Mytilus edulis: one gene and its partner. The protein of the gene in region 1 purifies or fractionates together with the protein of each later gene. This does not show direct contact. Links are inferred from orthologs where the notes say so. Each region holds a gene or a part of one and is shown on either strand. Other genes may lie near its edges.

Evidence for each region.
Region 2: the proteins of cyclin-H-like (region 1) and general transcription and DNA repair factor IIH helicase subunit XPD-like purify together in Homo sapiens (affinity purification with mass spectrometry; 3 studies listed by BioGRID and IntAct, counting the BioPlex papers as one, with this or other methods). This does not show direct contact. The link is inferred for Mytilus edulis from reciprocal best matches to the Homo sapiens genes CCNH and ERCC2.

Annotation. Positions count from the first base shown.
Region 1 is NC_092345.1:45,276,420-45,284,084, forward strand, and holds the start of cyclin-H-like, read right to left. Parts: upstream 3,201-7,665; 5' UTR 3,006-3,200; exon of another isoform or gene 2,826-3,005; intron 1-2,825. UniProt on the Homo sapiens protein: Regulates CDK7, the catalytic subunit of the CDK-activating kinase (CAK) enzymatic complex. CAK activates the cyclin-associated kinases CDK1, CDK2, CDK4 and CDK6 by threonine phosphorylation.
Region 2 is NC_092346.1:11,156,448-11,164,705, reverse strand, and holds the start of general transcription and DNA repair factor IIH helicase subunit XPD-like, read right to left. Parts: upstream 3,059-8,258; 5' UTR 2,980-3,058; coding exon 2,975-2,979; exon of another isoform or gene 2,857-2,974; intron 1-2,856. UniProt on the Homo sapiens protein: ATP-dependent 5'-3' DNA helicase. Component of the general transcription and DNA repair factor IIH (TFIIH) core complex, not absolutely essential for minimal transcription in vitro.

The DNA of each region.
Region 1 (7,665 bases):
CCAAAATTCACAACCTATGACAGCAAAAACCTGTCTGAGAGTTCACAAGGACTTGAGCTATCTATATGTAATTGTCTAATTGAACATCCTTACTAAACACAGATGTTTTTCCTCATTAAGTGTAGTTCCAGGTGGTTGCATTGTAAGGTTAATTAACATTATCTCCGATTTTTTAGTCTCTCATTCATATTTTTCTTTAGAAGACAAAGCATTGTCTTTCAATGTTGTCATTATTTGATTTAGATGCATGACCTCCTTATAAATATGCGTGGGTCTTGAAGTTAACCAATTTTGATCACTTATCGACTTGTAGGAGTCGATATATGCAACTTTTTGATTGTGGTCAATTATTTCTTGCTTAACAAGATTTGACTTATTAAAGTCATATTTTGTCTTGCATTAAGGGGAGACTAATCCTAAAACTTACAAATTTAGACCTCTATGAGTCAAAAGCAGATTCAGACTTATTTATGTCTGAGCTCTGACTGTTCCAGGTGGACCTGAGAATCTGTCCTGCTTGAACTATTGACATCATACAACAATCACTTTTCCATTGTGGTTTCAGATATTTTGTATTATGTCTTATATGACGTTAAAATTTTACGGGAACCTGTGTGATGTCCAGTAGATAGCGATAAGGTGTACAAATGTATGTGGAGGATGAAAAGGTTGTAGCACTTTTAGTGTGGGTTTGTGGTCTAAGAGGTTGATATACAGATGTCTACTGTGCTTAGGGTTCTGAGTTTGATTTTGACTCTGGGAGCTCAAACTATCAGTCAGGGGGGTGGGTAGCTGCCGTTAGGCACTTTAGGCACGTGCCTACACATAATTTTTTCACATTTATATTTTTTTATCAAAAAAAAATAATAAACAACATTATCTGTAGATGAAAGCTGGTGAAGTTGTCAAAACTCTTAAATTATCCAATGTCATGTGTACACTAGTCTCTCCTCCTTGAGTGAATGGAATATGAGATAGAATTTAATGTTTTTACGATTTTACATTATATAAAAACTATATTAAACATGTTAAAACTATAACTTTGCTCAGATCATTTCACTTCTATCAACAAAAACTTGAATGAACCTTAACTTAGACACATGAGTTTTTTAATTAGTTGTTGTCAGTTTTCAAATAGTTTACCACATTGTCTTCACCCGAAATGCCAATGTTGGTCATCTGTTTGGGTGTGCAGGATGTATAAATACGCAGTCACATCTGGTCAGAATGGGAACATTAAATCAGATGCCTAGTTGTAGAGAGAATGCAACTATTTAAGGAGTTCGTAGTTGGTCTACTGAAAGGCAAAACTTCTGCTCCTATCCAATAATCCCTCATTTTCCAATGCATGGTATTTTTAAATTTCCAGACCTTCGTCCTGGATGACACCTATTACAGGACCTAGCTCCAAGTTGTATTTATTGCAAAAAGAAAATTCAACGGTCCTGAAATTGCATAAATATTTGACACTGGATGTAAACAAATCAATCAATCAACTGGCTTCCAGTAATTTTGAGTACTCTCAAATCTGCGTGTAATGGCCACAATTATTCAAAATTCCTAAGCAGGTAGGGATTTTACAGAAGAGGATATATAAAGAAATTTGAATTTTGTTAGGCCTTAGGGTGAAGGTTTAAGATTCAAAAGATTGATGGTTGATGTCTAGCCAAAAGGATAGTTCTATTATATAGTACATTTGTAGTATCAGTGTTTACATGCCTATCTTTTTTAATGAAGGATCGTCAATATGTACTATTAATTAAGTTAACGTATATATCAATCAGAACGGAATAGATATGATAATACAAAACAGGGTGTACTGCTAAAATTAAAGGGATACGCTGATCTACGCTGGGCAATGCATATTGTAAATATTTTTCTTTATATTACGGATTGTACTGTGTTATTTAAAAATTTTCACCAGTCAGATGTTATGGTACATTATTCATAATTCTACGAAATTTTCATCATGTATTTTATAATTATCATGATTAAATAACCAGTAAATTTAATATTTTAGTACATAAAATTTTGCAGCTAAAACGCTGAAAACCATTTTCAGTCAGGGGGTTTCGCCCCCCCCTGAACCCCCTACCTGGACTGGGTTGCTCAAATCTATGGCTAAATTTAACCATTGGTTAGCTTATCCAACGGCTAATTATGTTATCCAGTGGCTTACTATCCGTTGGCTATTTTTCCATTGCTCCATGGTTAAATGGGAGTCTGGTTAGCATGGTTAGTAAGCCACTGGATAAGTTACTTAACCAATGGTTAAATGCTACTTATTACCCATAATTCATAAGTGGCCTCCAGACCCCCTGCCGATTTGTGACTACAGTTGAATGAATAGCTAGCTACGCCCCTGTCAGTACATCAGAAGGGTGATTTTTACCCTCCCACACACATCTCTGTCCCCAGACCAAAATTTAAACTGGAATGGGTACATCTGTTGTGACTTCCAGTAATGGCAGACAAATAGCACTTAGGTCAATGGAAAGTATCATCTTAGGATAATATTAGTCATATTTGTTCGGTGTGTTTTTTATGCATTTTGAGACATAATCTTCAATCTTTGTCGTGATGACAGGGTAATCTCTATTGTAGATAATCCTCTCTTGGACATAATCATGATAATTTCTTCTTCTTTTTCTTCTTCCATGCTAAGGACTGGATTCTTTAAAAGAATGTTATAAGTACACTAGACTTGTAGACGGAGAATGAGAGAAGACGACGGAAAAAAAGAGTTGAAAATCTAGATTTACGTTGCTTTCACATTGGGTGAATATTGGGTACTGTAGCATTATTCTTTTCATCTGTAAACTTACCTGTAAAGACTGTCCAGTTTTCTGCATACCTTTCACATAAACCTCGAAAAATTATTTATTTTGAAAAAAAGTATGCGTTTATTGTGGACAGGGGAAAGAAACTAACAGAACGCTTTGACCTGTGTCCAAATAGAAACCTCTAACTTCCTCCGTTAAGAGGAGCACATTATTTTGCCGTACCGCTATACTGTGTCGTCACAAGGCTTTGTAAATATACAAATGCTCGATCGTCGTAGAATATTCACTGATTGAAGTGGATTGTACTATATATGGCATTTATCTGTATCTTTTCATGAAAATATCCGTAACACACAACTTCCGAATTCGTGCAACTTCCCTTAAATTTCCTATATGGTACAATGCTTCGTCTGCTATTACGTCTCAGTTTAAACTGATTGATCGATGACGTAATTTTCGACCGTTCCTGGTAGAGATCGCGCGCGGCTTAGCGATATTATTCATGAACAACTCTTTCAGTATATGATTTGAATTTTAGGAAAACGTATAAATACTTAATGTATCAAGATATTTTTGCATTGGCTGAGCCCTCACTGATAACACTGAGAGGTTATAGCGATGTTATATATGTTGCCTCAGGTATTTCCTTGCGCTTTTTATTGATAACCGAAAATATTTGTTAAGTTAAACATATAGATAAATGATATGTTTTGTCGTTAGAAATGTATTTGTAGCTAATTTACGAAATGTTGCTTTGATCTCACTGACTGATGATTTCCTTTCTCAGCACAGTAGAGTGCTATAAAAATTATCGATAGAAACTTTCATCAAATTATAGTGAACATAACAACACGGAAAGATTTTTTTTTAGATTTAGTACTAGTCAATAATCCATCCAACATTAACAAGGTTAGTACACTACCACCAATAGGCCTTAGTGACCACGACATTGTTTATGTAGAATCTGACATTTGGTTGCGCAGGGTGAGAGAAAAACCTAGAAAAATATTGAAATACAACAAATCTAACTGGAGTAACATCAAATCAGATCTAGAAAAAACATACAAAGATCTACTAAACCTAGAGGACAAAACAAATGTAAATGACATGTGGAAGTTGACACATTTAAAACAAACCTTACAAAATCGGTGGAAAACAACATTCCTCATAAGTTCCTAACATACAAAAATAGACTACCTTGGATTCACAACAATTTAAGGAAAATGATAAATAGAAAAAAACAAGCTATATCATAAAATGAAACAAGACACCAGGTATGCTGAAAAGTACCGACGTCTGAGAAAACAAGTACAAAAAGAACAAAGAACTGCATACTGGGGTTATATTGAAAAAATGATATTAGACCTACCCATAAATGAACCAGACCAACAGTGCAACAATCAATCTAAACCTAAAAAGCTATTTTCCTTTATTAAATCACTGAGCACAGATAACAACGGTGTCGCACCACTAAAAAAAGGACAGTTAATAGATGATACAAAGCAAAAGGCAGACATCCTCAACACACAATTCCAATCAGTGTTTACAACTGAATCAAATAACACCATTCCAGACAAAGGTCCTAGCTCACACCTTTGTGCAACCTTTGCGGATTGGTATACGTCGGTGAAACGAAAGGAAGGCTAAACAAACGTATGTGCGGTCATAGATCAGACATTAACCTCAATGCTAACGACATTCTATACCAGCATTTCAATCAGCCCGATCATTCCATCGTTTCTATGACAGTTCGCATTATCGAAAAGATATACCATAGCTCTAACAATCCTAATATTTCAACGACTCTCCGTAGACAAAAAGAAGACTACTGGATTAGACAATTGGGAACTGCAACACCGTATGGCTGCAATGACAAAATTGATGGTATAGGTATTCTATCTAGTCCTTCGTGTAACTCGGTGAATGTGATGAATATTTTCAACTCGACTCCTCGACGTAGACGCAGTCATGGTCATCGTCATTATACATCACCTTCCCTGCATGATGTCTCTATTAATGACTTGCTGTCATTCATACAAAAGCCGTTAGGTATTCATCACATTCGCACGAAACTTTATTCATTACCCCTTTCAAAACTTCATTCTCTGTTCAATTTATGTTTGGAATCCACTGTTACAAACCCTCATTCAAACCAATACAAACTTCAAGCTATAATTTCGGATATTGCAAGTCACAGACTTTTCAAGCCAGTTCGCATTGGAAAAGATGAAAAAGAGAAAAAATCTTTTCTAAATCTTTCCTTTGCCAACAAAGGTCTCGATGGCGTCAACCTAGGCAATATCCTTCATCATAAATTAGTTCAATCGAAAATACCTCCTTATTTCAAAGACTAGTCTGTACCAATAATTTCTTATACCTATACCAAACCTATTGCAACTAAAATTTTCAATTACAAACGCGTTTTGCAGAATCTTGATATTGACGACTTCAAGTCTAAACCTCCTGATTGCACTTGTGCTAGTTCCCAATTCATATATAATCCTGCTGGCCACGTTATTACCGGTGACCTTAACATTGCTAATAACACTTCTCTACGAAATGTGTTATCGAAAGGTCCGAAATATCGTGAGCCTAAATCCATCAATTGGAAATACAACTTTAAAATTTTGATGGACTCAGTCGAGGATTATGCCAGGCAATGGGCTAAACGTGAAAAGGAAGACGTAGACACTCTATCCGAATGGATTAAGGCAGTGAGGTCGTTAATACAAATTAGAATCAAGAAACTGAATGGGTCCACCAATGCCCATGCTACGTCAATCTTTAAAGACCCAAATGTTGCTAAACACTTATCCGACCTCCATGATAAATATGTTGTTGTCCCCGCAGACAAAGCCCCAAATAACATCGTTTTTGTCTGTAAAAGTCACTACATTAATTGCTTGATAAACGAATTAGGTATAGACAATTCACTTGGAAACTCAACATATACCCTCACGACAATTACCAAAGAGGAAATCCTGGATAATCATAGGTCTGTTCTTTGTTCCTTTGGTATTTCAACCAAAGATGAAGAACTGGATCTTCCATCACTGTATTGGATACCTAAACTACATAAGTGTCCTTACAAACAACGGTATATTGCTGGGTCTTCCAAGTGCTCCACGAAACCTCTTTCTAAATTATTAACATCTATTTTATCAGCAATCAAAGACGAGCTTCAAAGTTATTGTGAAACTGCCTATTCTAGAGGTGGCGGGAATCAGATGTGGATACTTAAAAATTCCAAAGATCTTTTAGAGTACATACAATCTAACTCTCTTTCATCTTGTAACAGTATTAAAACATTTGACTTTTCTACTCTTTACACAAGTATTCCACATTCCAAACTAAAAGACAAATTGAAAGATTTGGTATTACTTTGCTTCATAAAAAAGAATGGCCAACGTAGATACAAGTATCTTGTCTTAGGGAGGGATAAATCATACTTTGTAAAGAATCACTCTGATTCAAACAATAAAATTCTCTGAAACCGATATTATCAAGATGCTTGATTTCTTGATTGACAACATGTTTGTAACGTTCGGAGGACGTATTTTTCAACAGACTGTCGGCATCCCAATGGGAACAAACTGTGCCCCTCTACTTGCCGACTTGTTTCTTTATTATTATGAGGCTGACTTCATGCAGGAACTTCTTAGGAAGAAAGATAAGAAGTTAGCAATATCCTTTAACTCTACTTTCCGCTATTTAGATGACGTTCTTTCACTAAACAATTCAAAAGTTGGTGACTATGTGGAACGCATCTATCTCATCGAATTGGAGATAAAGGATACTACAGATACAGTTAAGTCGGCTTCATATCTTGACTTACATCTAGAAATTGACAATGAGGGTCGGTTGAAAACAAAACTTTACGACAAAAGAGATGATTTCAACTTTCCAATTGTGAACTTTCCATTTCTAAGTAGCCACATTCAAGCAGCACCTGCATACGGGGTATATATCTCCCAATTGATACGATATTCCCGTGCTTGCATTTCCTATCATGATTTTCTTGATAGAGGGTTACTGCTCACAAGAAAGCTATTAAACCAAGAGTTCCAAATGGTGAAGTTGAAATCATCCCTTCGTAAATTTTACGGACGCCATCACGAGTTGGTTGACCGTTATGGAATAACCGGTTCACAAATGATATCGGATATGTTCTTTACGTCGTAGCTACAATCCCCTTCCCTTTCATGAATGTGACCTACCGAATTAGACTATTTACCGGATTTGTAATCACATAAGCAACACGACGGGTGCCACATGTGGAGCAGGATCTGCTTACCCTTCCGGAGCACCTGAGATCACCCCTAGTTTTTGGTGGGGTTCGTGTTGTTTATTCTTTAGTTTTCTATGTTGTGTCATGTGTACTATTGTTTTTTCTGTTTGTCTTTTTCATTTTTAGCCATGTCGTTGTCAGTTTGTTTTAGATTTATGAGTTTGACTGTCCATTTGGTATCTTTCGTCCCTCTTTTCCTTTCACATCCTGTGATAACACCACTCGAAATATCTTAACCTGGTGTCAAGAAACTCCTACACACTATAAACCCACAAAAGGCAACCGGCCCAGACAATATCAGAGGCAGAATACTTAAAGAACTCAATGACCAAACAGCTCCAATTCTTACACTTATCTTCAAAACATCACTTGAAACTTGCTTTATACCATCAGACTGGAAACACGCCAACGTAGCACCAGTACTTAAAAAAGGGGGAAAATATAAACCAGAAAATTACCGTCCTATATCATTGACATGTATTTTCTGTAAACTTATGGAGCATATCATCACTAAACAAATCATCAACCATCTTGAAACGAACAATATACTGTATGACATCCAGCATGGCTTCCGTCAGTCTAGATCTTGCGAAA
Region 2 (8,258 bases), on another chromosome or scaffold:
GATTTCTTTTTTACTGATGTAACAGTAAATTTGGTCCGGTAGTAAAATTTGTCCCACAGACTTTTTTTCCTAGTTAATCAAGTCCATGTCCATGATTTTACTAGGAATATAAGTCCTAGGACAAATGTTCCTAGGAAAATAAGTCCATAGCTAGTAAATTATGTCTGGCAATTGTCCGAAGACTTGTTTTTCTTATAGTTTTATTATATCATATAAAAATATATTTAAAATAGATGAAAAAAATGTTAGATAAGATTGGAAAATTTCCTTATTTTTACATAAATTTTATTTAAAAAATTGATACACAACTCTTTAACAATATTAAAACATACAATGTATTACATTTATATTCACCTTTTAAAATTAAGGGCATGGACATTTTAACCTAGAACTATTAATGACATGGACATGATTTCCTAGGAAAATTAGTCTGGAGACAAATTTTATTGAACAGATTGATACACAACTTTTTCATTTTGTCTTTAGCAATATTAAAACATATTACATTCATATTCACCTTTTAAAATTAAGGGCATGGACATTTTAACTTAAGACTACATGTATTAAGGACATGGACATGATTTTCTTGGAAAATTAGTCTGGGGACATGAATTTTATCAAAAATATAACTATGCAACTCTTAAACATTACTAAGGCCACACCAATTCGATCCCTTGTTTGACGGACCCGCCCGCACCTATTTTTTTCAAAACAGAATTTTTTTATTTTTTTTATATTCCCGCTTCCCGCATCCGGAATTGTAATCATGTCCATTTCCCGCACCGTTTTTTGTTGTTGTAAATATTATAAAAAGATATCAACATTTGTTAAATCACAGTGAGTCTAACCTGTATATAACGATTTTAAACATAAAAGCACCCCACCACACTGTGTAAATATCTGTGAGAATATTTGTTTCAGCATGAAACCTGGAGTGCTCCGATAAAAAGTTATAACAGCGGGTATTTCCGTGAAGAACAAAAAATTGGTTTCTTTCCCCCTTACTTATATTCCCTATCAAAAAAATGTTCGTTGTTAGAATAAAGTACAAAGAACTTCTGAAGGATTTGCCTTCAACTGTAATTATATTGTATGCTGGCGAAACAAAACTATCCATAGTCGCTGCATGTTTATGCACCTGTCCTGATTGATTCAGGAGCATGGCGTTCAGCAGTTATCGTTTGTTGATGTTGTTCATTGGTATTATATAAATTAGATCGTTGGTTTTCCTGTTCGAATTGTGTACGCTAATAATTTTGGGGTCCTTTATAGCTTGCTGTTTGGTCTTTATCAAAGCCCTGTGTAAAAGGCCGTACTTTGACCTGTGTTTGTTATTATCAGGTTGAGAACAACCCTCCCTCAGACAAGGGGTCATTTTACTGATGTAGAAAAGAAAATAGTTCTTCTATACAAAACCTTTGAACACTTAGAATTTTGTACTCAAAAAGAGGAGAGTTACATCCTATTTTAAACATTTTTTCTAAAAGAGGGGTCCACTAATTTTGAATAATATTAAACTGTTAAAGTAAATGTGTTAACATGGTTAAAGTCCAGGAATATTTCTAAATTCTTGGACATGTTTTGACCATTTAATACCAGATAGATATATATTTCTATTAGAAAATATGAGCCCTTTTGTACAAACAAATATATTATAACTTATATTGATCCCTCATAAAACATGTAAAAGGGATATTTATAACATTAAGGGGTTGCCCCAAAACTGATTATGATTCGGATGGAGAATTGTCTCATTGTCAGTCACACATACATAGACCAGATTTAATTATTTCTTGGTGAACAGGGAAAAAATACTTCAGAAATTAAAGAAATGTCAAAGTACAAGTGATAAATCAAGTTTTAATATTGTCAAAACCTATTATTTTATGTTTACAAAAAAAAATTATAATCGCTCGCCTTTACTTTTCAAGCTTCGCCTCAAAAATTTGCAAATTAAATATTTTTTTATTAAAATTTTCAAATCGCTCGCTCACCCCAAATTTTGGAGTCCAAAAATCCGTAGAACAAGAAATTAAATTGGTGTGGCCTAAAACATAACATTTTAAATTTCCATGGTTTGAATGTACATGTAATTGAACTTATTATATGATTTTAAAGGACATGATTACCTAGGAAAATTAGTCTGGGGACATATATTACTAACATCGGACTAAATATACTAGTAAATTCTGTAACCATGGACTTTTTATACTACATGTAGTAATGTTTGTCCGCCCAGACATTTTTTACCAGGACAAATTTATCACTTACATAAACACGAAGTTCAAAAAAGTTCAAAACAATGTGGCTATGTTTTCATGAGACCCGGATAGCTTTAATTTTGTTATATGAATTAATTAGGAACTGAAATTGTCAACATTGTTTTTATTGCACACTAATTGTTTTTATCAGGATTATATAATCTGACAAAGGCATCATTTTTTTTTTAAATAGCCCTTATTACATGTATCTGTTAACCTTTGACACATTGTTTTCTTAGTGGTCAAGTAAATTGTCGGCCACTTTAATTTTCAACTATTTCTGGCAACACTTACATATTGACAATTTATTAATATTTTTTCGTAAACAATATCGATTATTTTGCATATAAACTAATTAATTTAATAATTATTCTTTATTTCGAATCCCCCAATTTTAATAGTTTTCTATCGGCTGACTTGTTTACTTGTTCCAAATGCTAATTTACTACGTGACACGATAAGCTGTCATCAAAACAAAAAATCAGTAATCCCGCTTTTCGGGGCATTTAAATCTTAACAGATTGATCAGTTTCCAGTCCCGTTAGTATAAAATTATAAATAGTCCTAGCTGATGCTGATAAATTATTTTTGCTACTCTAGTTCTCCCTATTTGAGTTTTTTTTAATTTTACACTTCATTCTTCATCTATACTTAATCTATTATGGTATTTTTCTAACAAGTAGGATTTTGATAATTAAGACGTAAAGCATTACTTCATGATTCAACTTTTTAAACAAATGTTGCTGATCATGCCGATTTGTTTTCACCGGAAGTAGTTTTCGGATCTAAATAACTACCTATGTATGTATGTACTGGTAAATGCCTCCGATATCCGAAGAACCCCTCGAAAGCTGCGAGGGTACAGTGGCATCCATGTACACTCCCTAACGGGATTAATGGAGATGTGTCACTAACGTATATTTATACGACAATTATTTTTACAAGGACAACCAATCCCCACCCAATTCAACACAAAGGGAGTGCTAGGACACCGGGAAGTCTGTTATTGTGGTGGAGGAAGCCGAAGTACTCGGAGAGAACCACCGGGCCACTCGGTGGAAACAGACAAACCAGAGAGATATCAGAAGATTGATCTCCAGGTCAAAGTAGGGACACTTTGACCAACCGAGGCCCCCAACGTACCCATTCTAGTTTAAACTCCGGTCTGGGTACCAGAGATGTGTGTGAGAGGGTGAAAATTACCCTTCTAATGTACTGAGATTTTTAGCACCCCGAGTGAGAATCGAACTCGGGACCTTCAGCACTGTAGCCATCGGTCTTAACCACTAGACCACGAACTCACACAAAATACATCCTTTGTTAACAATATAAGGCTGCTGCGGTCATAGAGTGTTGTCAGCGACGTCCGCGTTGTGGCATTTGTTGCATCCGGCTGTGGTCTGTAGTACTTTTCGTTGTGTTTAATGAACTCGTTTAAGGTTCATCATAAGGAATTGAAAAATATGGCCGTGTTTACACTTCCAAAATTACTATGAGTACAGACAAACTGGTACATCCAGGAAAGTTTTAAGGCATGGCAGGAACTAGATATATAAAAGTTATATGAAGTCTACGTTTCAGAAAATTAAAAACTTACCTGGATTTTGATGTTCATTTTTTTCCAGTCTGCAGAAGATAGCAAAATAAACAAACACCCGAGTTTCATTTGATACGGTCCACTCAGATACACAGTTTAAACCTGTTAAATAACCTATTGTTTACAGGTGTCTATTGTCAATTTAAATCAATACTACTCACAACATTGATAATATGAGGGGAGCTTCTCAATCGTTTTCACTACTTAGTTAATTTTTGCACCTTCTGCAGGAACGAAAAAAAATGGATAGCAAAATCTAGAAAAGTTTATAATTTTCTGAAACATAAAATGCATTTAAAATTTATATATCTAGTTCCTGCCATCCCTTAAAACTGTTGCAGGTGTATAGGTTAGTCTGTACTCAGAGTAAAATTTGGGGTGTAAATACGGCCATTTTAGCCAAAAGGTTATGATGAACCTTAATTGATGAAATTAGTTGCATGTTACTGACAAAAATATATCGCAAATAATTTTAATTATGTAGAAGGGGAATTCCATTTTAAGATTGAGTCGATTCTATTTATATCTTCAGGGGGAAATGGTTGGATAATAGTTCATTGTTTTCTCGGAAATTTTAAGACGCATGATTGAATGGGAATGCATGGACATCAAAGATAAGGTAACACCATAGATGTAATATCTATGGTAACACTAATATATTTCTAGATTTTTATTAGTGTAAAAAATGAAGTTTCATTTCTTGCCATATCAATTTTGACTGTGTATACTGCATGAGTGGGTCGTCCAAAATGAACGACTGGAGCAACACAGAAAAACGTTGACTATTACTGGAAAATTATGTATTTTTAAACAACAGTGAATACTGTGGGTACTAAATGTATTATATAATCTAAAAAAAAAAATGACTTATTGAACAGTTCATAAATGGGGTCAAAGTCCATTTACTTGAATTAATTCGAGAAATATGCGGAAGTAAGTCAATTCAAAGGCGGATCTAGAGGGCCCTTGGGGGCCTGGGGCCCCTTTTCATTGGAAAATTTGGTTGATTATTTATATATGGAATCAATCAATCAATCATGACTGGAGCGGACCAACCCAGGTCATTCAGCGACCCCTTTTTATAAAAAGTTCTGGATCCCGGCGCCACTGTTAGCAAACAACACGATTCATTTTAATCTTGTTGAATAATGTTGATGTGATAACGTTTGCTTTGTGGTCTCCAGTATCATTTTTCCCTAATGTGACCTACCGAATTAGAATTATTACCGGGTTTGTACCGTGACATGAGCCACAAGTGAAACAGGATCAATTTACCCTTCCGGAGCACCTGGGATCACATAAAGTTTTTTTCGGGATTCCTGTTGCTGTCTTTAGTTTTCTATGTTGTGTGTTGTGTTTTGTGTACTATTGTTTGTCTGTTGATATTTTACTTTTTTAAGCTATGGCATTGTCAGTTTATTTTCGACTGACGAGTTTAAATGTCCCTCCTGTATCTTTCGCATCTCATTTTAATATAATTCAAACCTTATACTTAGCTATGCATTGACTGCTCTACTTATTTGTACAGAAATTTGTTTGCTGAAACTGAAATAATAAATAAAATAAATATACATGCAAGTTTATGCTCTCATTTTAGGTAATGTGATATTAACCTGGACATGATTTGATAACCATGCGGCAATGACAGAACTTTCACATTACGTGTGACCAATGTTACCTAAGCCTGTAACTCTCATTCCACAAATGTCCTACAATTAACTACCATGAGTAAAAGTAAGTAAACTTTGTTGTTATTTATTATACATATCATATGTGAATCATTTTAGTTAACGCACAAAATAAACCAAGTCAAATCTTAATTACCTATAAATATGATGTATTCACAGAAATAAATGAACTGTGAAGTATATATTAACGTCAATGAGACAAAACTAACTACGAAACTAACTACAAACAGTTTTACCAAAAGGGAAATTCTTATTTGGAAAAGGATTATACGACCTGAAAAGCACAGTAAATGTTTTGTTATAGTTTTTTCGAGATACACTTTACCAGGCTTTATTATCGTTTTGATGAAGACCAACTGGGCTCCTTTTGTCGCAGGTTGTTCCTTTGCTGTTATGAATGACTTTTTAATTGTCGAGTTTAAGCTATGTCTAGTTGTATTTGTTCCTGTCTAACAGAAATTCGCCTGGAAACTTTGTTATAAACAATGCCATAATATGTGTTCCGCTTGGAACAAACATCCTAAACCCTTTTTAACTCACCTGGAATAAAAGGTCAATCAATCACCTCTAAATACTTAGCGCCCGTCGATCTTCGATTGACACCCGTCGTTCTTCGACCGACGGTCCGTCCCCAATCGTCGTCTTGTCCTTCATCCGTCGTCCGTTGTCATCTGTTTACTTTTATAGAAATCTTCTCTAAATCTATTGGACTATATTTAATAAACTTAACCCCAATCATCACTTGGGTATATAGTTTAAAAAAATGTGTCCAATGATCAATGGCCTTCCAACCAAAATGGCCTACATGGCTTAAAATAGAAATAGGCGTCAAATATAAGTTTGACTATTACTTTTAAAACCGCTATAGGTAATGAAAATCTAGCAGGGAAAACATGTTCAGAATGTTGAGCTACATTTATTTTCGTGTGTGTCGAAACTGTGAAACGTCTTCTTATAAGAGTTCTTGCCCTCAAATGATGTATTTTACTATTTTAAAAAATGTTCGTTATTTAACTCGGCAATTATAGAGATTATGACCAGCAAGACAAGATCTACAAACAAGTCAAACGTGGCCAAATCTTCAGTCGACACCTTATTGTCTAATCAGTTATTGCCCTATAATAACGATTTTTGCCTAATTTCTAACTATTAAAGAAAGATAGACACTTTTAAAAAGAAAAAAAAAACAGCAAGATAATAGTTATCAAAGGTACCAGGATTATAATTTAATACGCAGACGCGCGTTTCGTCTACACAAGACTCATCAGTCACGCTCAGATCAAAATAATTATAAAGCCAAACAAGTACAAAGTGCATTTGAGGACTACTAAACAGGATCATGACTTGCAGATTAGAGGAATTTCGTTTTCGTGACAGCTTCACATAAACTCAACGGAAACGCAGCTTGAAAGATGTTATCATATTCTGAAGACACACTCTTCATGTAAAACGCAGATGAAATTAAAAAAAATGAAATATACCGACACCTTATATACATTATTGCCCTTCAACTTTTTGAATTTAAACATTCCCGATGAAGGTAAACCCAGAAAGGTGACACGCACTTAATTTTTATACGACTGCAAAATGTTTGCGTTCGTATATTATGACGATTTATACTGCACTCGTTCTATTTGAGCAGTCATAATGCGTTGACTGTATATTTCTATGTCATATACAGTCACTGACCCGCTATCACTTTTCCTCACGAATATTTAAATAGAAGTTGCCGAAATAATATTTAATTATTCATACGACCTCTTCAACCTGTTCTTGTTTCCCATGCATACAACTATGCATGGAACGACTCAACCTTGTTTCTTTTGCAATTATTGGAAAAACATATTTCATTTGTTAATAATTTTTGTTTGCAACCTATAAATCATTATGTTTTATGCTTATGGTTGATATTTTAGTCCATACTCAAACGATTTCGTTCACCATCGAGTGTGGGTTTCAACAGGTAAATGTACATTTCATTGCGTTGTATATTTCTCCACGAGCATGATATGAGGCCTTTCTAAAGGGGATTTCCCCAAATATTTAAATAAATAAATAACCTTAACGCATTAAACAAATTAAAATGTTTTTCTAGATTGCAGTATAAAGACAATAATAGTACATTGGCTAGAAACATCAACGATATAAGGATTCGGCCCGAAACGGGGAAATAGCTCGGCAGAGCATCGCATTTCCCCGTTTCTAAGCCTCATCCTTATATCGTTGGTATGTCAAGTCAATGCACTATTATTGTCTATATAAGTGTATGGATCTCTTTGAAATTTTGCTAGAAATATCAACGATATAAGGATTCGGCCCGAAACGGGGAAATAGCTCGGCAGAGCATCGCATTTCCCCGTTTCTAAGCTGCATCCTTATATCGTTGATATGTCAGGGCAATGCACTATATTATTGTCTATGTCTGTGTCGTCGTTGGAAGACATTTTGTTTTGCAGACAATAACATGAGTATAAGTGTATTGATCTCTAAGAAATTTTAGCCGACAAAGTTCCATACCACAATATAGGAAGGTTTGAATTTTTTATTTGTCTTTGTTGTAGGGGCCATGAAAGGAATAACAAACAAACATTTTTTTCTGGTTCGGAGACAATAACTTGAGTATGCGTATATTGAATTTGGGAGTTTTTGTCGTAGCTTTTTAATCAATGGCAAAAAAGGGGCAAAAAGTAGCAATTTTCTGGTTCACAGACT